Linked DNA regions of Macaca mulatta. The protein of the gene in region 7 purifies or fractionates together with the protein of the main gene of each other region. This does not show direct contact. Links are inferred from orthologs where the notes say so. Each region holds a gene or a part of one and is shown on either strand. Other genes may lie near its edges. The genes, in order: VDAC1, VIM, RIPK1, LRRK2, TRIB3, SPRED2 and SQSTM1.

Region 1 (4,135 bases), about 46 Mb from region 7:
AGTACGCGGTAAAATGGAGAAATGTGCCCAGACCCAGCTGAGAAGCCCACTGGTCACCTTTTCTCAGTGGCTACCACAGGAGTCCATGGAAAACCCAAAGCCGCAGACTACAGAATCTTGGAGCACTGGGAGGTGCTGCCTCCAGGCTTGGGCTGGTCCTCAGCCATACATGCGCCTCTCTGTCACTACCACTGAAGACACTGCACCATGGGAAATTCCATCAGGGCGAAGTGGACTTCAGTGCTTCAGGAGCATCTTCCTGGTAAGGGTGGAGGGTGGAGGCCCTTCACCACCCCAACATGTTCACTGTCCACACTCGCCTAGTGTTCAGCAAGGCCAGGGGCCCACAGGCACTTCATCCCTGTATGGTCTCCCACTTTCTATGCTACAAATAACCCCTGCCTACAGCCCCACTCTAGAATAGCAGAAATAAAACTAAATCATCAACAATGAGTAGTCCCCACTACCCAGAGGCAGGCACCCTACTCTGGACAACCCCAGCATAAGCTGTCCATCCACCCACCACGAGGGAAGGGGTAACAGACCCAACACCTTCTGTAGAATCCCAATCACCCACGTCACCCGCCCTGCAAGCCCAGAAACACCAGTTCAACAAGTTTCCCTCGGGACTTGGAAAACCAGAGAATGAAGACAATGTGTTTAAAGCACTTATTTCAAGAGACTATACAGTCTGTTACAGTTCTTTAAATATCTGTGACTCTCTTCTAGGTGAGGCTGTTTTCCACAAGTGAGATGTGTGTGTCCCTCAAAACGATGTCCAGGACCGGGCATGGTGGCTCACACCTGTAATCCCAGCACTTTGGGAGGCTGAGGTGGGTGGATTGCTTGAGGCCAGGAGTTTGAGATCAGCCTGGCCAACATGGTGAAACCCCACTCTACTAAAAATACAAAAATTAGACAGGCGTGGTAGTGTGTGCCTGGGATCCCAGATACTCTGGGAGGCTGTGGTGGGAGGATTGATTGAGCCCAGGAGATAGAAGCTGCCATGAGCCAATATGGTGCCACTGCACTCTGGCAACAGAGCAAGACCCTGTCTCAAAAAAAAGAAAAAGAAAAAACGTTTAGGATCAAAGGACTATGGTCTGGGCCTGCAGCCCTTCACATGCCCATTCAAAAATTCCACAAATACCTAATAAGCACCCACTATGTACCATGTACTGAAATAGTAAAACTCTGTCAATAAAGGTGGGTGGATTCTGATACAAGAGTGCATTTACCCCCACAGACCCTTCTCAAGCACCTACTGTGTGCCAAACAGCATCACGCCAGGCACTGAAGACAAAGTAGCACAGGGCCTCAGTGCCTCAGTCTGACCCTTAAGAGCTGAGTCGGTCCAGAGCTGGGGTGGGCAGAATGCAGGCAGGCCCTCGGTAGTCTGCCCTGGTCTTCCCCTGCCTCAGTGGAGAAGTTTAGGCAACAGAGGAGCCCTTTCCCTTATCTCCCCAGGAGAGGAGAGGCTAGTCAAGGGGACAGGGACCCCGGACCGATCAGGCCTCTAAAACAGGGTCTGCTCCTGCAATCAAGGTCTCCACATGCAAACTTACTGCTCGAGCTTGACAATGTCCATCTGTAAACTTACAACACTTTTCATAAATTAACGTGAAAGTTACTCAATACCTGGTATACAAATGCTTGTCAATAATAGTGCAAAAATGCTTAAAAACAGGAGCTACATTTATTGAACCCTTTCCACAACGCCACGTGTAGCAAAATGGTCTGCAGGGGATGGGCTGGATTCACCCAAAAAGCCCCAAGGGTGTCAGGGTTTCTACTTAGCCCTTCTCCATACCGGCACTGTTCTAAAGGTTTCATGTTAATTAATTCATTTTATTCTTCCCCAAAACTCAACGAAGGAGAGGTATAATTGCTCCCATCCTACAGATGAGAAAACGAAGGTCTGCGATCTTCCCAGCTGTGTGACCTTGTACAAATGACTAGGACTGCCGGCCTCTGATCCAACGTCAGGCTCCCAAATGCACCTCCGCGTTTGGCAAATGAATGAACGACCGAACCAGGAATCACTCCTAAGGCCAAGAAGGCCACATCCTTCCCCGTGGGGCCTCCTTTTCCTAGGCCAAACCTCCAGCCCAGGCCCGAGCTCCGGCCTCTACGGCCTAAGTCGACTCTCGGCCGGCGGGTTCCGCCCTAGAAGGCTCTGGCACAGGCGGGCGGTGCCGGGCGCCAGCTTCTGCGGGCGTGGGCCGGCCACGACGCGTGGGCCTGGGGACGCGGGGCCACGGTCGTCACGTGAGCTCATCCCCGCGGCGGCAGCGTGGCCGGCACCAGCCTGCTGGCCTGGTCCAGCGAGCGTGGGCGGCGAACGGGTCCCCGCCGGATCCACGCTGGTGGGATCCAGGGCCAGAGGGCGCCGCCGGGGAAGGTCACCTAGACGCGCGGCCCGCCGGGCCTCCACGCGGCCGCCCTTGCCCTTCCGCCCGCAAGCTCGGGACGCCTCTCGCCGCCAGCCGCAAGCGTCTCCGGACCCCCGGCCTCGCGGTCCCCAGCCCGGACCCGTTCGGCGCCCGCCTGCGCGGCCTTCTCTGCCCGCCAGCTAACCAGCCAGGCCCGCGCCAGCCGCTCGGGCTCCCTCCCCGGGGCCGGACTCCCGAGGCCCCTCGCCCGCTCCTCCCTCAGCGCCTCCCTCTCAGTTCCCCAGGGGCCCGGCCCCCGCCGTCCAGGGCGCAAGGGAGCCAGGGTCCTTTTCCGCTGCGCCTACCTCAGAGGCGGTGGCGGCGGGCTCGGAGGCGGCTACGGCGGGGGCTGCGGCGCGGACGCAGGGAGCGGAGCCGAGCAAGCGGCGGGGCCAAGGGCGGGGCGGCGCGGACGGCGGCGGCGCGGACCCGCCTCCCCTCTCGCGCGCCGGGTCCGGCGCGCTCCGCCCCCAGGCCCCGCCCGGGAAAGCGTCCGGGCCGGGCCGGGGTCCTCGTCCAGCTCGCGAGTCGCGTTCTTACCCTTCCGGGCCCCGCGGCCCCGGCAGCAGACACGGTAGCCTGCGGGCGCGTTGCGGACGCGCGGGAGGACCTGCGTGAGCCCGGGCACGGGGAGGCGCGGTATTGACGTGTGCACCGTGTGTGCGTGCGCAGGGACACGCGGGTTCTTGCTGGAAACCTCGGCCCCAGTGGCAGCGCTCGGGAAGGGGGAGGAGGCCTTCTGATTCTCTGAGCGGTGGCCCCGAGGTCCCTGCGCTAATGGAAGACGCGCGGGGCTTCTGGGCCTCCTGGTCGGCCTCCGCGCTGCTAGATCCCCCGGGAGTTGATGTGGCCGGCGCTGGACTCGAGCCTTGCCTGGGTGGACGAAGTGACCCCCGGCCCCCCATCAAAGCCCGGGTGGGCCCCATCCCCCGAGGTCAGTCTCAGGCCCAGCGCGGACACTGGGCGCTGGGAGCGGCGCAGATACTGAGTAGCAGCGGCGACTGTTGCTCCAGAGCTCCGCGCTCCGGATACAATGTGTCTGGCGCCTCCGACCCGCCCGCATGGCGTCTAGACAATCGCGGAGAAAACCCCTGTGTGCCGATTTTGCACCGCAGATTAGCGATTTTCTCCTGTAGCAAAGCTACTAACAGCCAATTTCCATGCATTCGAGAGGCAAAATAATAAAATAAAACGTGAATTGGGTTTTGCGAGGCTCCTGCTGGGTCTCTCGGCGCGAGGAAATCACGCCGGTTCTGGCCGGCCGGCCGGCTGAGGGCACCGCGGGGAACACGCGACCAGCCGGGGCCTGTGCTCCTGTGGGACCCAGTTAGTATGTGTTGAGTGAACGGTCACCTTCTCCTTGCTAGGCCTAAGCGAGTGGTCTCGTTCACCACTGAGTGTTCCCTGTGTTCCGCGCGAGGCCCACTTGAAGCGGGTTTCGAGAATTAATTCGTAGATGGACGAAGCTTCTGCACACCCTTCGCCTTTGATCAACAAACGTCCTCGAATGCTTCAGGCGTCTAGGGCCCTGTGGAGGAGGTGCCGGGTTACAGAATCAGGACACTCCTCACAGCCAGCAGCGACACTAGCTAAAGCAGTAGGCAACTGGGGCTGCGGAGGAGGCAATCAGGACTGGCTGCTGGAAAGAGACGGCAGATTAAATGTGAACGTGGCGACTTGAGTTAGAAAAGTTGTTTCAGTGG
Region 2 (2,866 bases), on a different chromosome or scaffold from region 7:
AGCTGTTCCCAGAAACATTTACAGACCTTCTGCAATAATTTCCATTAGTGGCAAATGGCGACCACTATAATTTTTGGTGGAGAATACAAGTACCAAGTCCTTCATATGAGAAGCAATGATATATGCAAGCTAAAACCTTCAAGAGCTCCATCAAGTCCATTTTGAGTCTGTCTTGATAATTCATTTTCTTTGCATTAAGGTATAAATTTTTACTCACTTAGCATTTTGTTCAGGTTATCACCATGAGCTTAGTCAACAGAATGAGTCGTTATTTTCCCTCTTTTACTGCAGGGTTGGTACTCACGGTTCCTTTAAGGGCATCCACTTCACAGGTGAGGGATTGCACCTGTCTCCGGTATTCATTGGACTCCTGCTTTGCCTGGCGTAGGGCGTCATTGTTCCGGTTGGCAGCCTCGGAGAGGTCAGCAAACTGTTAGGAAGAAAACAGAAATGTAGATTGCTCACATTCAAGTCTTTTGATTCTCTTAGAAAAAAAATCGTATTTCTCACTGAATGTCTTCCAGTATAGGTTTAAATTTCTGTTTTGAAAGTCAGGGAAAGAGCAGTGGAGTACTGACATTAATATTTTCAAAGTTCACTCTACTATGCTCATTTCAACACAGTGGACGTCAAAGGTATGGCATTGGGGTTTACTTGGAGGCAAGGTTAGGGAAAAGGGAGTCTGCTATTCTGAACGAGGTGATGTGGCCAGGTGTGGTGGCTCACACCTGTAATCCCAACATTTTGGGAGGCTAAGGCGGGTGGATCACCTGAGGTCAGAAGTTTGAGAGCAGCCTGATCAACATGGTGAAACCCCATCTCTACTAAAAAGACAAAAATTAGCCAGACATGGTGGTGCTTGCCTGTGGTCCCAGCTACTTAGGAGGCTGAGACAGGAGAACCACTTGAACTTGGGAGGCGGAGGCTGCCGTGTGCCAAGATGATGCCACTGCGCTTCAGCCTGGGCAGTAGAGCAAGACTCTGTCTCATAAATATACATATATATATATAAAGGAGGTGATGTGAGTGGTGGGAAGGCCGTGGCGACAAACACAATGTGAGCAAGAAGTCAAAGCCAGCTTTGCATTGGAGCTAGAGGATATTTAGGAATCGCACACAGGTATGGGGTATTGAGAACACAATGCTTTTCTTTTGTTCAAGCCACACTGATTTGTTTCCTACCTTGGACTTGTACCATTCTTCTGCCTCCTGCAGGTTCTTGGCAGCCACACTTTCATATTGCTGACGTACGTCACGCAGGGCAGCCGTGAGGTCAGGCTTGGAAACATCCACATCGATCTGGACATGCTGTTCCTGAATCTGAGCCTGCAGCTCCTGGATTTCCTGCAAAAAGAACAGACAGACGGTCAGCTGTGCCAGCCGTGGGGGCTGCCTTACCCTCATTCATTCCCCAAAAGTCACTCCACTAACCTCTTCATGGAGTTTCTTCAAAAAGGCAATCTCTTCTTGCAAAGATTCCACTTTGCGTTCAAGGTCAAGACGTGCCAGAGACGCATTGTCAACATCCTATTTTGAACAGAGAAAAGACAGGACATGGAGGATGTAAAAGTCTATGGCTTATCTCATTTATTTGTCTTAGATTAACCATCTGAACCTAGTCTCCTTACTATAGAAAAGGTGTTGACACATTTTATGACCCTTGAATAGGTTTATAAATCATTCAGTGCTATAATATGCTGTGCTTTCTCCTGCTCACTAATATATTTTAATTGTGACCCCTTGTGTTTTACTCAAGGTGGTGATCGGACAATTTTAAAATAAATAAACGTCCACACACATGGTAAACTGCACTCAATCATGACTGAATCCACATTTTACCAGTGACATTTTAAAATTACTTTTTAAGGCTGGTCATGGTGGCTCTTGCTTGTAATTCCAGCACTTTGGGAGGCCGAGGCGGGTGGATCACTTGAGGTCAGGAGTTTGAGACCAGCCTAGCCAACATGGCGAAACCCCATCTCTACTGAAAATACAAAAATTAGCTGGGTGGGTGGCACACACCTGTAGTCCCAGCTACTTGAGAGGTTGAGGCAGGATAATTTCTTCAACCCTAGGAGGCAGAGGTTGTAGTGAGCTGACATAGCGCCACTGCACTCCAGCCTGGGCAACAGAGTGACACTCTGTCTCAAAAAAGAAAGTAATTCCTTTAATTTAATTACCTTTTAAATCTAGAAAATCTATGCCACAACATTGTTAAGATTTGTTTTGTAATTTCATGGAATAACATGATGATAGAGGTGGACATATTTTCATAACTTCATGTACACTTGAGTACATGGAGAACAGAAACTTGTGCTTCAAGAGTTTTAGCTTTTTTTCCCCACTCAAATCTTTTGAAACTTATCCTTAGGCTCCAAAGCAAATATGCAATCATGTGGCATCCATTGTACAAGGCTAGATTTATATTCAATAATAACCCAATTCAGGATATGCTGCCAAAGATTCAGTTCAGGAAAAATTGGAAAAGAAATGTAACTCTGAACTGTATTTTCTCTGCTTTCTCTGATGGATTTTTCTTCTAAAACTCCTTTGACTCATCCTACAAAGGCGTGTCTTTTTCGCTTGCCACTGTATCCGTTCAGTTGGCCTGTTTCAGAATGACTGGTCAAACTTGCAGAGAATGAAACTACATGAAGGATTTTTGCTGATTCAGCTGTCCTTCTATGTTTCCATTTGTAAAGCTCAACATTCCAATTCAGAACATGTAATCTTGCAACTAAGATTTTATTTCCTCTCAAAAGGATGCGTGAGGATTGTTTATCTTGTCAGCAATTATATTTGGAGTTCAGTTTATAGCCTTATGGTCTTAAACTGTTGAGACTTTTCTATCACCTTAGTGGAAAAA
Region 3 (3,500 bases), on a different chromosome or scaffold from region 7:
TTCTCTGCTCCAAACCAAGTCCCTTTTTTCCTTGATCATCCCTGCAACAGCCGCTCTTCTCTTGCTTGCTATAATTTTCCTAGTACTCTCTCACTGCCAGTGAGGAGCTCCTATTATTTGTAAAGCTTGTGGGAAGAGGACCATCTCCTAAATGCTTCGGACTGGTCTCTTACTTATTTTCTGTGCGTCCCTCTGAGATACAGATTCATGATGGCGCTCAGATTTTATTTTACGTTTTAATGTTTCACGAACCCCATTCTAATGTTGATCATTTCTTCTCAGCCACAGAACAGCCTGGTTCACTGCACAGTTCCCAGGGACTTGGGATGGGTCCTGTGGAGGAGTCCTGGTTTGCCCCCTCCCTGGAGCACCAGCAAGAAGAGAATGAGCCCAGTCTGCAGAGTAAACTCCAAGAGGAAGCAAACTACCATCTCTATGGCAGCCGCATGGACAGGCAGATGAAACAGCAGCCCAGACAGAATGTGGCTTACAACAGAGAGGAGGAAAGGAGACGAAGGGTCTCCCATGACCCTTTTGCACAGCAAAGACCTTATGAGAATTTTCAGAATACAGAGGTAAAAGGCACCGCTTATTCTAGTGCAGCCAGTCATGGTAATGCAGTGCCCCAGCCCTCAGGGCTTAGCAGCCAACCTCAAGTGCCATATCGGAACAATGTTTTATATAGCTCACATGGCTTTGGAACAAGACCGCTGGATCCAGGAACAGCAGGTCCCAGAGTTTGGTATGGGCCAATTCCAAGTCCTATGTCTAGTCTGTATAAAATCCCGGTGCCTGAGACCAACTATTTAGGAAACACACCCACGATGCCATTCACCTCCTTGCCACTAACAGGTAAATGGGTCTTTGATAGTCACAACCTTGTCTTTTTTTATTTTTCAGAAAGTAAAGCAACCAACCAGCTCTATTGTAGATTGTGGGTTGTGATGGGGACAGAGGGTATCGTCCACGGCCAGATGCAAGTTGCCGCTGTGGAATGGACTCCGCCAGGCCACTTGGTCTGGGAGTGTTTCATCTGGGGCTAGGATTCATCACACATGTCCACAAGCATCAGGAGGTGCTTGTGACTGGCAGGCGCCTTTGACTCTAATGTGGAGTGCATAGTAGTCCTATTTCACCCAATCTCTGATCAATGGGAAGTTATCTGCTTATTTGCTTTTACCTTGCTTGCTGTTTTTTGAAGATAAGAAATCAGTTTTGGATATTTTTGTTTCTTACCTTATATAGCTCAAAGACTACCATTAGTGATGAAAAACTTTTTTTTAACTCCCATATATCTATCAGGTGAAGTAAAAGGTACGTGATAGTAGTTACTGGCAGTCTAGAATGGAAGTGATTTAATGTAATATCCAGCATTTTTATCAAATAATACTCACCAACATCACCTTAACCACCTGAACGGCATCTACCAGTGATACCCACAAGTGTCCTGGAGATCCTGAAATCAACTCAGGTACAGGAAGCTTTGAGAACCACAGAGCTTAGTTACAATTTCTTTCAAAACGCCAAATTCTCCAAAAACATCCTTTGAAAACATCCTCGATTTTTTCCATAGGTTTTATTATTAAGATCTGTAGAATGCAAAATACTGGATTAGACATTAAGCAGTATCCAAGTCATGTATAATCCTATGAGCAGAATATCCTTTTGTTTCCTTCATGTCTGGGGATAAAATTTTTCATTAGTATTGCCATATCATTTTATTCATTCATGATTAAGTCAATAAAAATTTCAGCTGGGGCCATGGTTGGCCAGGCATGGTGGCTCATGCCTGTAATGCCAGCACTTTGGGAGGCCGAGGTGGGTGGATCATTTGAGGCCAGAAATTTGAGACCAGCCTGGCTAACATGGTGACACCCTGTCTCTACTAAATAATACAGAAATTGGCCAGGCGTGGTGGTGCATGCCTGTAGCCCCAGCTACTAGGGAGGGTGAGGCAGGAAAATCACTTGAACCCTGGAGACAGACGTTACAGTGAGCTGAGATATGCCACTGCACTCCAGCCTGGGAAACAGAGTGAGATTGTGTCTCAGGGAAAAAAAAAAAAATTCTGTAATCCCAGCACTTTGGGAGGCTGAGGCAGGCAGATCACGAGGTGAGGAGATTGAGACTATCCTGGCTAACACAGTGAAACCCCATCTCTACTAAAAATACAAAAAAAAACAAAAAAACAAAAAAAATAGCTGGGCATAGTGGCACGCGCCTGTAATCCCAGCTACTCGGGAGGGTGAGGCAGGAGAATCACTTGAACCTGGGAGGCAGAAGTTGCAGTGAGCCGAGATCGCATCACTGCACTCCAGCCTGGGTGACAGAGCGAGACTCCATCTCAAATAAAGAAAAGAAAAAAGAAAAAAAAAAATCCAAAGCACTTCCCACTTTGTGCCATGCAGTTCTCCAGGCACTGGAGCTATAACTGAGCCAACAGCCTGAGTGAGTCCCTTCCCTCATATAGTTTAAATCCTAGTAGACAGAAGGCAGACCCTAAACCAATATTTAATGTGTAATTTTTTATCTTCTTTCTACATGAGCAACCCAAATACACTAGTTTAGTGCCAAAATCGCTTTCTGTTTTCACTCTTGCTGTGGTTCCTGATTCTGCCAGTGACAGATGTACAGGCATCCAGCTTCTTCAGGATTCTGAGATGCTTTCAGGGGGGAGGGGGCACTTGGATCTATAATAAATAATAGAATTTTCTGTGTTTCTGCTCCCAAAGATGATCCTGCTAAGTACTGAGCTAGTAAATGAACACGCTGAGTTTCTCCTTGCAAATTTAAATAAGTCTTTTGCTTGCTTTTGTTATCAAAATGTCCTAACTCTGTACCAAAATGTGAGTTTTCTAATTTGCCATACCATAGAAGAAGGGTGTGTGTATCCAGTAAGTACAAAAGGAAAATAAAAGTCTTCGTCTCAGTGAAAGAGCTCCTAGACCCACTGTTTCTATTCACTGTGCTGTTTGAAGTGAGGTTAGAAAAGGGAAGCTCACTGGGCTAGGGGTCAGGAGACCCAAGTCGAGTCCTGCGTGTGCCAGTCACTGCAGTGGGTGACTTTGGGAAAGTCGTTTGCCTTTCCAGAGTTCATTCTCCTCAATTATCAATGAAAATGTTACGAGTGAAAATTTATACATTGTAAGCTCTAGTGTGTTTCTAATATTGCATTCGTTGCTCCGTTTCATAACTTTCATGGCTTTTCCAGTGGCCAGATTTGGGCAGAAAGCACTGATTCAAGAAAACAAATCTCCAAGTAGAGAGGTGCAGGGTAGACCTCCATGTAAGCCCATGGTGAACGCAGACTGTGAGTGACAAACACAGTGTCAGTACAAGCTGGAGGTGGTGGGCCAGGAGGATTCAACAGGGTAAGGCAGCTTAGCACTGTGCCTGCCGATGCACAGAATAAGTGCTCAGTAAATGGTAGCTGCTGTTATTAGCACTGTTATTATCACTGTTAACAAGAACACCTAGACAGCCTTGAGTGCTGGAAGGTA
Region 4 (2,649 bases), on a different chromosome or scaffold from region 7:
TTCATGTCATTGCACTGTTTGGAATACAGTATCCTTTTAAATGTTACCTTTCTGCTGTTGTGTACCTTCAGTACTTTTCCGGTTATAGCCCAATACCAGCATGACATTTTTAAGGCTCCCTTTACAAAAACAAAATATGGAAGTTTTCCGTTAAAACTATATATTAAGCTGGTCTGAAAAAAATTAAAGTTGTTCATAGTCTAAGACACAAATACCTTGGAACTGAATTCACAGTTCTATTTTCTAGGTGACCCTTAAATTATATTGAATAAAGGCCAGCATTAAAAAAAAGTAACAGAATCTGTGATCCACTCCTTGCTGCAACTCTTAATTATGTGAGAGAAAACAGCTTAACCTTTCTATAAAATAGGCTTAGTATTTATACATTACCCTCCCCAAAGTTACAATGTTAAATGAGGTAATGTGTGTGAAAAGTTCTTTGGATATGGTAAGGTACAAATATGAGTATTTAGATGGACACTTAGATGGATGGATATACTGATGTCAAAATATCATATTTTCTTCTCAAATCATTCACTAATTTATTCAACAAATTTGCATCAAAAGTCTTCTATGTAAGTCCTAGGCTAGATCCTGGGAATAAAGGGGTAAACCAAAACACACTAACCCAACCTGCTTGGTGTTTATATTCTAGTGAAGAGACTAGTATTAATGAAAAAAAATATATATGACTATGATCACAACTATGCAAGAAAGCTGTTATGGGAACCCAAAGTGGGAACTTTGACCTAATCAGTGTTTGCTTCTCAGAGGTTTTGACACAGGAGCTAACATTTCAAAGCGTATGAGTTAACTAAGCATAACAAAATTACTTTAAGCAAAGAAATAAACAGCATGTGCAAATCCCTGAGGCAAAATATAGCACAGTAATTAAGAAGAACTGGATGTTCATCTAGACGAGGAAGATCTGGTAGGAATGTGGTAGATGATGGAGGCAGGAGAGGTACAGTGAAGCCAGCTCACGCAGCACCTTGTAGGCTATGTTCAAATTGATCTTTATTTTAAAATCAAACTGTAACCCATTGAAATTCCACTATAACTTCAGTTATAAGCAAGCTATCCGGGTCCCAAAGTACATACAATTCAACTAGAGAATGCAACAACTTTGGTAGAATAAGACTACGGAGACAACCCATTGAGATACCTACTGTTCTGCTTGTGTGGACATGTATCTTAATAGTTCACAGTCATTAAGAGCATCTAATTCTAACTCCTTCTGTGCAACTCTAACGTCTATAAATGAAAAATAGGTGAAGGTGCTAGAGAAACACATGTTCCTCTTTCACACATACTTGTAATGAATCTATTTTCTTCACCACGTTCAAAACATTCATTAATTATTTGCTAAAGTTACATAAATTCTAGTTTTTTCCGGAATTAAACCCCATAGTGTTGTTTTTGTAAACTTTTGTATATGTGCTTTTATTGTTATTTTCTAAATCAAATTATTATCAAAGGAAGACACAAATATATTTATGCAGAAAATATATTTTATGTGCTATCACGATTTCATCATATTTAAATAGAAAAATAGAAGCAAAAAAAGACAAAGTTTCAGTAAAACATGATTTGTCAATATTTGTAGGTTGTGTGGTTCAGCATGTATTGCTGCAAGAATAAAGATTTGTTATAGAATGAAAAACTAAATGAGATTCTTTAACAAGCGTGGGAGGCTAGACTATGATTAAAATAAACATTTTCTTTATTTTCTTTGCTCAAAAAGTGAAATATATTCAACACTATGTATTTCCCATTTTTGCCTTAGGTAAAAAGGAAAAAAGCAAGTAAGACCCAAACTGAGTGTTCAGCTGCAGTAATCTGCTTCTCTTATGGGACTGAGAGCATTTACTCCCACCATTTCTGTAATGACCCTATTCACAATTTACACCAGTCTTATGTTTCATTGTGTGAACCTCCAAGACCATCCAAATGACACTGGAAAGTGCAGAGAAAAAGTAAATGTAAAATAAAGGCATATTTTATAAGACTTAGAGAATATGAAAAATATCTAAAGGAAAGAAACTTGCCTAGCTGTGCTGTCATCATGACTCTGACCGAATCACAAAAGTTGTAAATTATACGTATAACTCGACGAGTTGAAAGATCCAGGAGTAAAATATGGCCTCCTCCAGTTCCTATCCAAAGAGCAGTGTTCTTCTGAAGGCAGAGAGCTTTCACTCTCCCAGAATAAGACATTTTGTGTTTTGATTCCTTGTTTACTTTTACCATTACCTCCCTAGAACCATAAAGTATACATTAATAATTTTACCACCAGCTAAGACATAAATGCTATTTATATATGAAAACATAAATAACATTTTAAATTATGAAAACATGACACCACACATTATGCATCATTAAAATTATACAAAGCAAATTTTGCTAAACACAGAATGCCAAAGAGCCACATTTCTTTACTTGAAGCATAAATTATCAAAGACAACAATAGCCCTTCATTTTCAGGAAATTATGAATAAGAAGGATACAATTTTTATAAATACCAAAGCTATCTAATTCAGTAAAAATAGCATGCATGTGCCCAGGATAAAGAAAAAAAAAGTTAGACTCAAAAGCTTTACATGATGTCTCAGTGTTACAAAGGAACATAAAATTATAGTCATTCACATG
Region 5 (4,027 bases), on a different chromosome or scaffold from region 7:
GGGAATCACTTGACCCCAGAAGGTAAAGACTTCAGTGAGCCATGGTTAGGCACTCTAGCCTGGGTGACAAAGTGAGAATGTCTCAAAAAGACAAACAAACAAAAAAAATGAAGTGTGTGAGTTTTGATTCAGCAATTAATCCCATTGCTAGAATGTATCCTGTAGAAGTGTGCTTGTGTAAGCATGCAAATACAAAGTTATCCTGCAGCCCTTGTGACAGAAATAATTTGCTGTCTATAATTACAGGGCTAGTTACATAAATTATACTTCATCCACACAACGGAAAAATTTGCAGCCATTTAAAAGGTTGAGGACGCTGTTTATAGCCTAATCGAAAGGATCTCCAGAGTGAACTGTTAAATGAAAAGAAAGCCACCATCCACGCAGCTGTGTGACTGTGTGTGGGGTGGCTGAAGGAGAGGGCAGTAGGGCATGTCAGGGCAGGAAGGTTCTCTCTAGAACCCATCTGCCCACCCACTTAAACTCCATTCCAAGGATGTGCATGCCCAGGTCTGAGCACTGGTGCGAGAGGGACCTCAGCCTGGTGAAAGACCTTCCCAACAGTTCAAGGCAGGATGAACAGGGAAACATGAGTCAGTTACCAGACAGAGGCCCACCTCTCCAAGTACGCGGCTCCTAAACGGAAGAGCTGCCTTGGAAGGGAAGGTCTCCCCACATGAGTGAAAGGTCATGACTTTGGCTTGGTAAGAACGCAGTAAGGAGTGGCTTAGTCAGATATTCCTGGGTTCTAATCCTGTCTCAGACCCTTTCTAGCTGGGGGGTACCCCTGGTCAAGTTCCTCAAGCTTTCTGAGCCTCAGTTCCTGTAAAGTGGGAACAGGATGCAAAGTTTACAGGTTTTTAGTGATGATGAAATGAAAAAACAAATGAAGCACGTAGAGCTTATAGACCTGTTGCAGGGTAGGTGTCAGGAAATGGTCACTATTAGCACTCATCCTGTTGTTCTTCACAGCAAGATGCTTAAGTACCATCCTTGGGAGTCTTAGAAAGCTCCCCAGGTTCGAGGCTGGGATGACAGAACAGTCTCAAGGCTGTTCTGAGTCCCGCAGGATGCTACCTGGCCGTGCACATGCTTTGTGCCCTGTGCAGCAGGAGACTGCCTGAAGTCCCTCTGGCCTGTGCCACATCAGTACTCCAGGCTGCCTTGGCCCCAGTCATCCCTCAGAGCCTGTTGGGGCCTGGGATAAGCTCCACCCAGATGGGGACAGATGGGGTAACTGAGTCTATAAATCTTGGGCAAGGCATTTTGCAGACCACACTGCAGAATAGAATCTGTGCTGTGGAATGAAAGCAGCCCCTAATATCTACCTCTTGCTGTTTCCTGCCATACTCGAGACCCAGGGAAATGAGGGCGGGTTACATCAAGCGTGCGCGCGCTCACAGGTGTACACACACCCCTGAGACACTGTCTAAGCCAGCCAGCGACAACACATCCAGGGAAGACAGACATTAAGTGACACACCCTTGCCCTCCACGGGTAAGCGTTAGCGCGCACACACACACACACAGCCCTCCCAGCTATCACACCCATGGTCTACACAAGCAAGGCCGGCCCCACCACCCCCCGCCCCGCCCCCCGCAGCCAGGCCCCCTTCAGCGGGAGCGAAAGCGAAAGGCGGCGGTGTCCCAGTCAGAAGTTTCAGCGGAAATTGAAGGGCGGCCCTGGGACAGGAGGGGGTGAGGCAGAGGGAAAGAGGTGGCTGTCGTCCCCCGCCCTCCCCGGTCTGCAGGCACAGCACACACCGCAAACACACGCGCACCTTCCACCTGCAAACCCGGAGCCACGCAGCGGGAAAAACCAGCGGCGCTGCCCGGCCGGGGATCCCGCGCTGCGACTTCGCTCCCACTCGTTCGGCTCCCGCACCACTCGCTCAGTTCGCTCCCAGGGCACCCCACCCAGCCCTCTCCCGGCCGTGTCCCCTGCACCTCCAACCCCTGCCACCAAGTGCCCAGCCCTCCAGACAGTTCTCACCATCCCCGGAGGCACAGGTCCCCGGGACCCACCCTCACCCAGAACTCTCTCCTACGGGTTCCCGAGGACCCCCGCAGATCCCCCGCAGATCCTCCGACACCCCCATAAAGAGTCCTCCAGTGCCCCCCACAAGCCCCTCACCTCACCACACGACTCCCCTGTCCCACACTCACGCAAAACAGACCCTCGCACACCCTCCTCTAGGGGTGACAGCCGGACACCTCCGTCCCTGGCTTCCCCAGCCAAACTCGGGCGACCCCACGCCCTGCGGGGCCGCGTCACCTGAAGCCCGGGGGGAGCACTAGGCCCAGGGTGTCCCCCGACGGCAGAGTCTGTTAAAAGGGGTGTTGTGTGTGTGCGCGCGTAACACGCAGCAACACGCAGAGGCGCAGAGCCTCCCGGCGCCCCTTCCCCGGCCGCCCGCTCCAATCCCCCAGGCTCCGGGCAAGTCCACAGTCCGCACCCCGCCGAGTACCTTGTCCTGCCGTCCCGCGTGGGTCCTGGCGCCGCCGGTGCTCAGAGCCTCTAGGGTACCAGCAGGTGGGCCGGCCCGCTTCGCTGCTGCCGAGCTCGGGATCCCGGTCCAGCTCCAGCCCGGCCCGGGTCCTAACAGCGGACGTGTGCGGAGCCGCCCCCACTTCCGCTGCGAGTCTCGTGCGCTCCCGGCTCCCAGCCTGGGTGATGTAAACCTGAGCTAATCAGCCGCCGTCTGATGCCCTCAGGCCCAGGATTGCACCATCCCCGCGCCCCGCCTCTCCGGGTCGCCGCCAGGGCGCGCTCCGCCAGGGCCTCTCTCCTCCGCTGCACCTGGGGACCCCGCCCTTGTTGGCCCACTAGGGTTGTCTGGTCTCAGTGCAGACACCAGCCACGGACTCTCCCTATCACCTTGGAAAAAAACATTTGCTTTTCTGAGCCTTACTTTCCCCACCTATGAAATGGGAAGAACATTCCTCCTTCTCGGGATGGTGCTCAAAAGAGCAAACAGTGACTGTTGTCCGGGTGCTTCCCCTTTTGTAAAGCACATTACCAGCACCGCCTTATAAAACCTTTAGGAGAAGTGGACATCTGGCAATCTCCATTCTCCCCCTTCTACTGAGAGCCAGCCTGAGGCCCAGCTGTGGGCAAGTGGTCCAGAAGCTTCAGGAAGGCCTATGGACCTAAGAGCTGACTCTGGGCTCAAAAGAACCACTGTGGCACCCTGGGGAGGCCTAAGGTCTGGTGAGCTTCCCCGCGTTCCTTTGCTAGAGGCAGTGCGGCCTAGTGGCGAAGAGCCCCTAGAGCCAGCTGGCCTAAGAGTGCACTCCACCTTCCCCTCCAACCCACAGTGCTACCCCAGAAAAGCTACCTAAAACCCTGCCTCAATTTCCTTTTCAATAAAATGGGCTCATAATTGTGCTCACTTCATAAAGTTATTGTGAGGATTAAATAATGTAATATGTGTAAGACGCTTAGAACAGTGTGTGGCACATTTCGGATGCTCAATGGAGTGTAGACAATGGAGACAGAGAGGGAAAGAGGCCTTTAATATGCTTGCACCCTAGGCCTGGGAGGGCTTGGTGCTACTTCCTTTGGGGTGAAACATCCCTCTGCGTCCCAGGGGTCCAGCACCTTTCTTAGAAATCCCTTTTGATCTGAATTCACTAGTGTCAAAATATAACTCCTCAGCTGGGCGAGCTGGCTCATGTCTGTAATCCTAGCACTTTGAGAGGCCAAGACGGGAGGATTGCTTGAGGCCAGGAGTTTAAGAACAGCCTGGGCGACGTAGTAAGTCCCTGTCTTTACAAAGAGAAAAAAATAGTGGGCATGGTGGTGTGAGCTTGCGGTCCCAGCTACTTGGTAAGCTGAGGTAGGAGGATCACTTGAGCCCAGGAGTTCAGGTTACAGTGAAACATGATTGTGCCACTGCACTCCAGCTTGGGTGACAGAGTGAGATCCTGTGTCATAAATAAATAAATAAATAAATAACTCCTCTAGAGGCCAGACGTGGTGGCTCACGCCTGTAATACCAGCACTTTGGGAGGCTGAGGCAGGTGGA
Region 6 (3,945 bases), on a different chromosome or scaffold from region 7:
GAGAGAAACCTTACTGTCACTAACACTTAAAAGGAATTTTTCAGATGCGTCATTACACAGGTACGTTGAACATAATAATAGACGGTAGCTACCATGGCAGTTTACAGCCCACGAAGTCGCTTTCTTCTCAGGCATGTAAAGTCTCGTGCCAAGGTCATCACATTAAAAATAACCCCTATAGCCCATTTCTTCAGTGGCTAAGATGCCAAGGCTTTCTCAGCCTCTAAGTGAAACTACAACTCCTCAAATATCTATCCTCTCAACTGGACTTGTGACAGCAGTGGAGGCTGCAGCTTCATGCTGAACTTGCTCTGAGAGCCTAAAATGGAACTATTCTTTCCTCGCTGGTGATCCCACTCGAAATCCTTCTGCTTTGGATAGCAGATGGAGAAAGATGCAAGGCTGACAAGCTGCCACAAAAAGGGCCAGGTCAGGCCTGTATTCCCAAGGAGTGGAGCCAAGGTAGAGCGGTCAAACCTCTCCAAGAATCTGCAAGGCCAGAGCACAGCAACCAACCTCACTGCCACTGCTGCTACTCTGTGTGCAGGTACAATCGAGGGCCCATAAAAATACTGATTTATTGGCCACGTTCACAAGGCAGCAAGGCCCAGAAGCATAATCCTTCTCTATATTTCAGCGCTAAAAGCGCAACTTTTTTTTCATTTTACCATTTTAAGATGCTATATACGAAGACAAAGCAAAACGTCTGAAATAGAAACACCAGCAGATGTGGTGGGACATCTGCGACAGGCACACCAGCAGGGATCCTCTCCTGTGACGGGTGTCTGGAAGATCAGGGGTTACTGCAGTCAAAGTTCCCTGGGGACTCACAGGAAGGAAATTGAAATTCCTTTCCCCAAACAGCAGCCCCATTCCCGCCCAGACTGGCAACAGCAGACGCCAAAGGATAAAGGGGGTATATTTAATAAAGTGAGTAGATTTCTTAGAGTAGAGCACAACACTGTCACCTGCTGCAAGAGACAAGCCTCCCTGTCGCCCAGCCCTGAGTCACTTCCCCTCCCAGCACTCTTGAGGCCCAATGCCTGCGGGGGGCAAAAGACCTGGGGCCTCTGGAGCACGCCTCCCGCAGCCCGCACTCCACTGCTAAGACGCGCGCGGGGCCTCCCTCCAGGGCGCGTCCCCGCGGCTGCCAACCGGCTCTTTGAGCCCAAGCCCGCGCCGCCACTACCTTGGCTAATGGCAGCACTGAATGAAAGGAACCGATGCAGACTCCGGATTTATGAATGTGCAGGGGAGGAGGGGAGGGATATCATGTGACAATAAAGGAGAGCGTCTTATTCACAAAAAAAAAAAAAAAAAAAAAAGTGGCTGGTGGCGGGCACAGCCACTGAGCAGCAGCGGCGGCCGCCGCGCGATGACCGCTCGGACCCCAGGCAGAAGACCTGAGGTGTCGGGCCCCGCGGCCCCGCCCCCGTCGCACCCGAAACAGAAAACGCCTCGGACCAGGAAGAGAAAATGCCAAACTGGACCCCTGGACCGCGAGGCAGGAGGCAGCTGCACCTCCGCCCCGGGCTGGCGACAGTCACGGGTCCCGCGCGGGGCTGCCCGGGATCCCTCCGGCGGAGCGCCCCAAGCATTGTTCCCCTCGGGCCTGCGGGCCGGGCACAAGCCCGTGCACGCGCACCCGCGAGGACACACACACACACTCGCCCCCAGAGCGCTGCCCCGCACGCCCCCGCCGCACTCGCCTAGGTCCGCCCCGAGGCGCCTGACCCCGCAGGACGCGTGTGCCGACCACAAGCGCGTGCACAGGCACTCACGCACCGCGGGGCCCCTCGGGCGGCTCCAGCACGCCGGCCCGCGCGGGGACCCTGGCGCACCAGACCCCAGCGCAGCCCGCGCCCGTCCTCCTCTCGCTCCGCCGTGTTTTTTATGAATGAAAATGTGGTATGCAAATGAGAGCGATTCAAGAAAACGAAATGGCGGAGCCTAGGCCCCAGTGGGCTCAGGAGCGGACTGCGGGGCTCGCGGCGCGGCGGGAGTCACAAAGTCACTGTGCAAAAACCCACCGGCCCCGGGAAGCCGGAGTGGGGGTGTCAGGTCTTCCGCTCCAGCCGCCGAGGATTTCGGGGGCGGGGGGGTGCTGTGAGTCCTCGGAGAGGGAGCGGGGACCGCCCGGAGGTCACCCGCACGCCCTTGGCCCCCGGGGCGGCCACCAGCCCGCCGACCCTAGGCGTGCGCCCGCCAGCCCGCAGCAGTTTTTGCCCCCTCCTCACTTCAACAAGCAGGGAAGCCTCGCGTCCCAACCCCGACAGGTCAGCGAGTCGCTGCACCCCACGCCAAGTTCACCCAATAAGCGTCCCCGCCCGCATCCTCAGCCCCGGCCCCCACGCTGCCCCCGCGGGGCACCCTCGTCCCACCCCGCGACCAAACTTACTCGTCCGGGTGTGTTTCTTCGGTCATTTTCTTGTTCACCTAGACGCCTGTCCCGCGGCGGGCAGCTTTGCTCCCTTCATCTTCCTGTCCGCTCGCCCCCCTTCTTCACATCTCCGGAGATCGCCTGATTTGGGGAGGGGGGGCGGCTAGAGATGGGGGCGCCGCAGCAGAAGGGGAAGCAGGGAGCGGGGTGAGGTTTGGGGGAAGGGGTGCAAAGGCAGGCTGCAAGGGGAGTGAACGCCGCAGCGCCGTGGGGAGAGGCGGGCGGAGGCTCCGGGGGCTCGGGAGCGGGCAAAGGGGGCGAGATTTGGGAAGGGGACGGCGGTGGGGGAGAGCAGGAGAAAAACAAGCGCGCCTTGGAGCGGCGGGGACTGCTGCGAGGAGGAGGAGAGCGCCGGCCGCGGGTGGGGGGACTCGGTCCGGGGTCGCCCCCGGGGGGCCGGGCCAATCACGGTTCCGGGGAGCGGTCGGCGGCCGGGGGAGGTGCGCCTGGGAGGCAGTGCAGGGCGCCCCGTCCGAGCCCCATCTCTCGACTCCACCGATTTACTCCATATTGGATTCTCACCGCCGCCAACAGGAGGAGGAAGTAGGGCGGAAGCGATGACGTCTTCCCAGCGGCCAGAGGTGGTGGAGTGCAAAAAGCTTCCTACTTGCGACCGAAAAAAACGGGAGAAAAAAAAAAAAAAAACTTTGTCCCGCCTACTGAGCACGCCCGGCTTCCTCTCCCCCTCCCTCCTGGCTTCCACTCCCGGGGGAGCCGCGGAGCCGAGTTGTTTGCTTTCGCCGCGACCGTCTGGCTCCGAATCCTCCTTGATTAGGGCTCCGGGTTTTAGGAAGCCCGAGAGGAGAGAGGAGGCGGGAGCGGAGGACTCTTACACATCTGGCTCCCGTTTTTGCCCCCTCCCTCCTTCCAAACCCCAAGATTAAAAATCGGGGGGTTGGGCGGGGGCGGAGATGCGAAACTCAAGGGAGGGGAGGGAGTGAAACAGCTGAAGAGGTGCTCAGGCTCAGAGGAACAACTACCCCCACCGCAGGGTGGGAAGGTAGGGGCGGCGCAGGTGCCAGGGGCTGGCTTCTCTAACCCAACCCAACCAGAAAGGAGAGGGGGTTCGACTTTACCAAGGTTCTGAAAGGCAGAGGCTTTTCCGTTTCACGTGAATCTTGTGATTTTTTTTCCTTTTTTGTCTCAATAGAGGAACGGATTTTTGTTTTGTTTTGAGATGGAGTCTCGCTCTGTCCCCAGCCCAGGCTGGAGTGCAGTGGCGCGATCTAGGCTCACTGCAACCTCCACCTCCTGGGTTCAAGTGATTCTCCTGCCTCAGCCTCCCAAGTAGCTGCGACTACAGGCGCGCGCCACCACGCCCAGCTAATTTTTGTAGTTTTAGTAGAGACGGGGTTTCACCGTGTTGGCCAGGATGGTCTCAATTTCTTGACCTCGTGATTCGCCCGCCTCGGCCTCCCAAAGTGCTGGGATTACAGGCATGGGCCACCGCGCCCGGCCAAGGAACGGATGTTTTTAAGAATCATTACTCGTGCAAAGCCCAGCAC
Region 7 (3,995 bases):
AAGCCATTATCCTTTGCCACACATAGAAGACACCTGTGAAAACACGAGTTTCCTCTAGAAGGCGCCTACAAGTCCCAGTCTCTAGTTCGGAATGTTCCAGGAGCACTGAATGGGGAGCCCTGTCCTTTAACACTGGGCCTCAGGATCCAGCCCACCTCGGCCTCTGGCTCGGCCACCCACTTCTTGGCATCAATCTCTCTGTGGGAGAATTGTCCAGACCCGTAGAAGCTCCCGATTCCACCCAGCCCCAGGTGTGGGCCGGGGCTGGACTAGGAAGACAAAGCTGCATTCACTCCCAGTCTGAGTCCAGCCCCTCAGGCCTCCCCCGAGCGGGCGGGGCAGAGGTCCCTGCAGCCTCCACCCGGAACCGGGCCCCTAGGACTGGGAGGTCCAAGCTGGGAGCGGGCCAGGCGCTGCCCAAAGTCTTAAAAAAAAAAAAAAAGAAAGAAAAAAAATTAGCCGGGCGCCTGTAATCCCGGCTACTCCGGAGGCTGAGATCGCAGTGAGCCGAGATCGCGCCATTGCACTCCAGCCTGGGCGACAGAGCGAGACTCTGTCTCAAAAAAAAAAACCCACAAAAATCCGAAGGCGTGGGCCCCTATCAAGAGCCGGCTGGGCTGCGCGGGGCGAGGTGGCCGCTGCACCACCGGGAGCAGGGCCCGTTGCTCCCGTAAGCGGCGCGCTTGGGCCGCCACTGTCCCGGGAAGCCGGTCCGGTTCTGGGCTGGTCATTCCTCTGCACCCACGAGCATTGGCCCTGATTCCCCCTAGAACGGCCCATTGTTCCCGCCTCCCGGGCCCCTGTGCGTCTCAGTCCCGCGCCCCAGAGGAAGCTCCTGAGCGGGAAAGCGCCCTGGGCGGCGCCGAAGGCAACGGTGGCTCCCGGCTCCAAGCGCCCAGTCCCCTCCAAGCGCCCAGTCCCCCGCGCCACCCAGAGCCCCTCACGCTCGGGAAACAGCCCAGAGAACGTGCGAGTGGGGTCGGGGTCCGCGCGCGGAGGAGATGTTGCCGAGAAGAGTACCTGGGCCCGAGAGCGCCGCCCCCGCCGCCCGCGCCGGCTGCGGTCGACCCGCACTCCCACTCCGGCCTTACCTAAGGCCGACTCGCACGAGCCCAAGCGGGGCTGCGGGAGCCGGTCGGGATCACGGGCGCCGGCCCCCACCCCGCCCCTCGCGGCGCTGGCGGCGGCGGTGCTGCGGCCCCTTTAAATCCGGGCCGCCCCGCCCTGCGCCGTCGACTCCGCGGCGGCCCCAGATCCAGGCCCCAGATCCAGGCCGGGCCGCGGCTCTCGCCGCCCAGCCCAGCCCAGCCCGGCCTGGCCCGGCCCTGCCGCGGAGGCGAGGCCGCCAGTGTCCCGCGCCCCTGATACCTGCAGTGAGCCTGATATCTGCCTCTGCTCCTCTGAGCCTGTTCCTTTTCCCTGAGTACAGGGCACAAAGCTTGCGCCCTGAGAAGCGGCAGGCGCGCTCCCCGGCCCGGTCCCTGCCCGGCCCCGGCCCCCCCGCCCCTCCCCGCCCCGGGGCCGGGGCCCCTGCAGCCGCCGCCTTCCGACCCCTGCGCCCCGGCCCCGGTTCCCCGGGCCATGCAGCCTCGGCCCCGCGGGCGCCCGCCGCGCATCGGAGGAGATGAGGCTCCGCAATGGCACCTTCCTGACGCTGCTGCTCTTCTGCCTGTGCGCCTTCCTCTCGCTGTCCTGGTACGCGGCACTCAGCGGCCAGAAAGGTAAGCGCGACCCCCGCCCGACCGGCCCGGCCCGCACCTGGCGCACCTGGGCGTCGGCGGCGGGAGCGGGCCCGGCGGTGGCCGCGGGAGGCGGCCGGAAGCCGACGCAGGCGCCCCTTCCCCGCCCGGGCGGCGCGGAGGACGCCCCTCCCACCCTCCCCCACTTGTTTGCTGCTGGAGCCGCGGCGTCCTCCTCGGGCCCGGGCTGCGCCTGCCCGCCCAGCGCTGGCCGCGCCCGTGGGTGCCCCGGACCGGACTCCGCGGGCGCAGCTGAGCTGGGGACCCGTGGGGGTCTCGGCACAGACCCAAGGTCACAGAGGTCCCGGAACGCCAGCCACAGCCACTTGGGCAGGACCTGGGCCGGCGTGAGGGACACAGGCGCGAGGGCACCGCTAGGCGGTCAGGCATCCCCCCACCCGCCCTCCCCCGACCCTGCCTCCCGCAGCCCCGCGCCGGCCTGGGCGACCCCGGCGTGACACCCGGTCCTGGGTCTCCCTCGCCGACCCCCGGGCGCCCGGAACGCCTCGGCAGCATCCGGCCTATGGGAGCGGGGGAGGGAGGGAGAGGCGTCCTGAGCCAGCCCGGCCACTGCTGCCCTGCGCTCCTGTGCGGCCCCAGCCCCTCCCCCGCACCCCGAGCTTCCCGGGCTGGCCCCCGCCCTCCGCGTCCGCCCAGCGCTCTTGCAGGCGGAGGGTGCAGACCGACCCCCCGCCCCCCGCCCCCCTGACCGGTCTTGGCGATGGTGGGGCCGAGTAGGGCCTGAGCCCTCCGAGGCGCTCTTCCCCTAGCCTGGAGGTTCTGGGAGAGTGGCCTCCTGCCTGCCTGCCTGCTGGAGGCCTAAGCGGGCTGAGGCTACCTGCCCCCTTGGCCTCCCTGCCACCTGCTTCCCTGTTTCCCTGTCCCGGAGCGCCACCCCAGAGAGGCTGAGGAGGCTGGGAGGACCTGGACCCTTCCGGACCTTCCGAGCCTCAGCTACCCTCACCGAGCTCTGCCAGCGCGCCCGCCTGCCGCACTTGTTCTGTCAGAGCAGAGGCCTGGGCTGGCCTTGGGGCTCCAGGGCCAGAGCCCCATCACCCAGGGACTCTGCGGGGAGACTGCAGGACAGGGGAGGGAGGGCTGGGGCAGAGGCCCCGGTGGTGGCGTATATTATCAAGGGCAGGCATGACTGGGGCAGAATTATCTGTAGGTAGGGTGTGTCACCTGGGGAAGGACATTCTGGGTCCTTGGCAGGGTGACTAGCAGACTGGCATGAAGGCCTAGGTGGGGCCTTATCTGAAGGGCTGGGGCACACTCTTCCAGTCGTGGGTAGAGCCATGAGCCCTTGCCCTTTGTCCTCAGCCAGTGTGTGTCTCCCACAGCAGCCACATGCCGCCAGATTGATGTCAGGAGCCACCTCTGCAAGCCTGGCTTACCACAGGGAGCCAGTCTCCGGGACAGCAGAGTGAGGGAGAGGCGCTGGCTCCGTGGGGGCATCCGGGAGGCTGGCTCTTTGAGGGCCTGGGGAACAGGAGAGCTAAGAAGGGGAGCGCTTAGATTCAAGGACCCAGCCCCTAGGGGAGGGAAGCCTAAGGATCCTGTGAGGCATGAGTAGGGGGTGACCTAGGCCTGCCTTGTTGAGGGGCTGTCACTGTTTCTGTGGTGACTCAGTGAAGCTAGGAATCCAGGCTATTATGTGAACCCATCTCATTGTCACATGTAGAAAGTCTGTCTTAAGCCCCTGGCGAAACCAGGCTTAGCCAGTCTGAGGCCAAATTGGAACCTGGCCTCCACTTTGCAGCCAGCGGGGGTCCAGGAACTTGAGGGAAGAACCCAGGAAGTGGAATCTGCAGAGAAGGAAGGAGATGGGCAGGGAACCAGAGAGGAAGGACAGCAGGTGCGGGCGTCATCCTGGAAGCCCAAGGTCAAGCCCAGGACGGCCTCTTTAGACTAATGCAAAATGGACCCTGGAGAAGGGTTTGGGGCCCAGTTTCATATCTGGCCTGTGGAGCAGCTCTGCCAGCACTCAAACTGTGGCCTTCAGCCAAGCACCTGCTGAGGATCTGCCCAGGGAGGCAGACCCTTGCGGGTGGCCCAGGGTCTCAGCCACACAGCTCTCCCAGCCTCCAGGCTGTCCTCCTCCCCAGGCCTGGACCTCAGCAATGACAGACACCCTCCTTGACTCCTGGGAGGGTGCAGGGTCTGGAGAGGAGACAGACATCTGCCGCACACATGCATGGTGACAGCAGACTGTTAACGGCCTGATACCTGCCCATGCCCCTCTGATCCTGTTCCTTT

What was found.
Region 1: the proteins of SQSTM1 (region 7) and VDAC1 purify together in Homo sapiens (affinity purification with mass spectrometry; 3 studies listed by BioGRID, with this or other methods). This does not show direct contact. The link is inferred for Macaca mulatta from reciprocal best matches to the Homo sapiens genes SQSTM1 and VDAC1.
Region 2: the proteins of SQSTM1 (region 7) and VIM purify together in Homo sapiens (affinity purification with western blotting; 3 studies listed by BioGRID and IntAct, with this or other methods). This does not show direct contact. The link is inferred for Macaca mulatta from reciprocal best matches to the Homo sapiens genes SQSTM1 and VIM.
Region 3: the proteins of SQSTM1 (region 7) and RIPK1 purify together in Homo sapiens (affinity purification with western blotting; 3 studies listed by BioGRID and IntAct, with this or other methods). This does not show direct contact. The link is inferred for Macaca mulatta from reciprocal best matches to the Homo sapiens genes SQSTM1 and RIPK1.
Region 4: the proteins of SQSTM1 (region 7) and LRRK2 purify together in Homo sapiens (affinity purification with western blotting; 3 studies listed by BioGRID and IntAct, with this or other methods). This does not show direct contact. The link is inferred for Macaca mulatta from reciprocal best matches to the Homo sapiens genes SQSTM1 and LRRK2.
Region 5: the proteins of SQSTM1 (region 7) and TRIB3 purify together in Homo sapiens (affinity purification with western blotting; 3 studies listed by BioGRID). This does not show direct contact. The link is inferred for Macaca mulatta from reciprocal best matches to the Homo sapiens genes SQSTM1 and TRIB3.
Region 6: the proteins of SQSTM1 (region 7) and SPRED2 purify together in Homo sapiens (affinity purification with western blotting; 3 studies listed by BioGRID). This does not show direct contact. The link is inferred for Macaca mulatta from reciprocal best matches to the Homo sapiens genes SQSTM1 and SPRED2.

The regions. Positions count from the first base shown.
Region 1 is NC_133411.1:142,905,587-142,909,721, forward strand, and holds the start of VDAC1 (non-selective voltage-gated ion channel VDAC1), read right to left. Parts: upstream 2,801-4,135; 5' UTR 2,738-2,800; intron 1-2,737. UniProt on the Homo sapiens protein: Non-selective voltage-gated ion channel that mediates the transport of anions and cations through the mitochondrion outer membrane and plasma membrane.
Region 2 is NC_133414.1:18,791,409-18,794,274, reverse strand, and holds part of VIM (vimentin), read right to left. Parts: intron 1,528-2,866; coding exon 1,432-1,527; intron 1,345-1,431; coding exon 1,183-1,344; intron 431-1,182; coding exon 305-430; intron 1-304. UniProt on the Homo sapiens protein: Vimentins are class-III intermediate filaments found in various non-epithelial cells, especially mesenchymal cells. Vimentin is attached to the nucleus, endoplasmic reticulum, and mitochondria, either laterally or terminally.
Region 3 is NC_133409.1:180,157,785-180,161,284, reverse strand, and holds part of RIPK1 (receptor-interacting serine/threonine-protein kinase 1), read left to right. Parts: intron 1-282; coding exon 283-852; intron 853-3,500. UniProt on the Homo sapiens protein: Serine-threonine kinase which is a key regulator of TNF-mediated apoptosis, necroptosis and inflammatory pathways.
Region 4 is NC_133416.1:47,244,711-47,247,359, reverse strand, and holds part of LRRK2 (leucine-rich repeat serine/threonine-protein kinase 2), read right to left. Parts: intron 2,258-2,649; coding exon 2,045-2,257; intron 116-2,044; coding exon 48-115; intron 1-47. UniProt on the Homo sapiens protein: Serine/threonine-protein kinase which phosphorylates a broad range of proteins involved in multiple processes such as neuronal plasticity, innate immunity, autophagy, and vesicle trafficking.
Region 5 is NC_133415.1:83,776,392-83,780,418, forward strand, and holds the start of TRIB3 (tribbles homolog 3), read right to left. Parts: upstream 2,801-4,027; 5' UTR 2,468-2,800; intron 1-2,467. UniProt on the Homo sapiens protein: Inactive protein kinase which acts as a regulator of the integrated stress response (ISR), a process for adaptation to various stress. Inhibits the transcriptional activity of DDIT3/CHOP and is involved in DDIT3/CHOP-dependent cell death during ER stress.
Region 6 is NC_133418.1:59,261,233-59,265,177, reverse strand, and holds the start of SPRED2 (sprouty-related, EVH1 domain-containing protein 2), read right to left. Parts: upstream 2,801-3,945; 5' UTR 2,425-2,800; coding exon 2,399-2,424; intron 1-2,398. UniProt on the Homo sapiens protein: Negatively regulates Ras signaling pathways and downstream activation of MAP kinases. Recruits and translocates NF1 to the cell membrane, thereby enabling NF1-dependent hydrolysis of active GTP-bound Ras to inactive GDP-bound Ras.
Region 7 is NC_133411.1:188,804,057-188,808,051, reverse strand, and holds the start of SQSTM1 (sequestosome-1), read right to left. Parts: upstream 2,801-3,995; 5' UTR 2,704-2,800; intron 2,121-2,703; coding exon of another isoform or gene 1,625-2,120; exon of another isoform or gene 1,348-1,624; intron 1,259-1,347; exon of another isoform or gene 1,021-1,258; intron 1-1,020. Other genes in the region: MGAT4B (alpha-1,3-mannosyl-glycoprotein 4-beta-N-acetylglucosaminyltransferase B), read left to right, coding at 1,625-2,120. UniProt on the Homo sapiens protein: Molecular adapter required for selective macroautophagy (aggrephagy) by acting as a bridge between polyubiquitinated proteins and autophagosomes.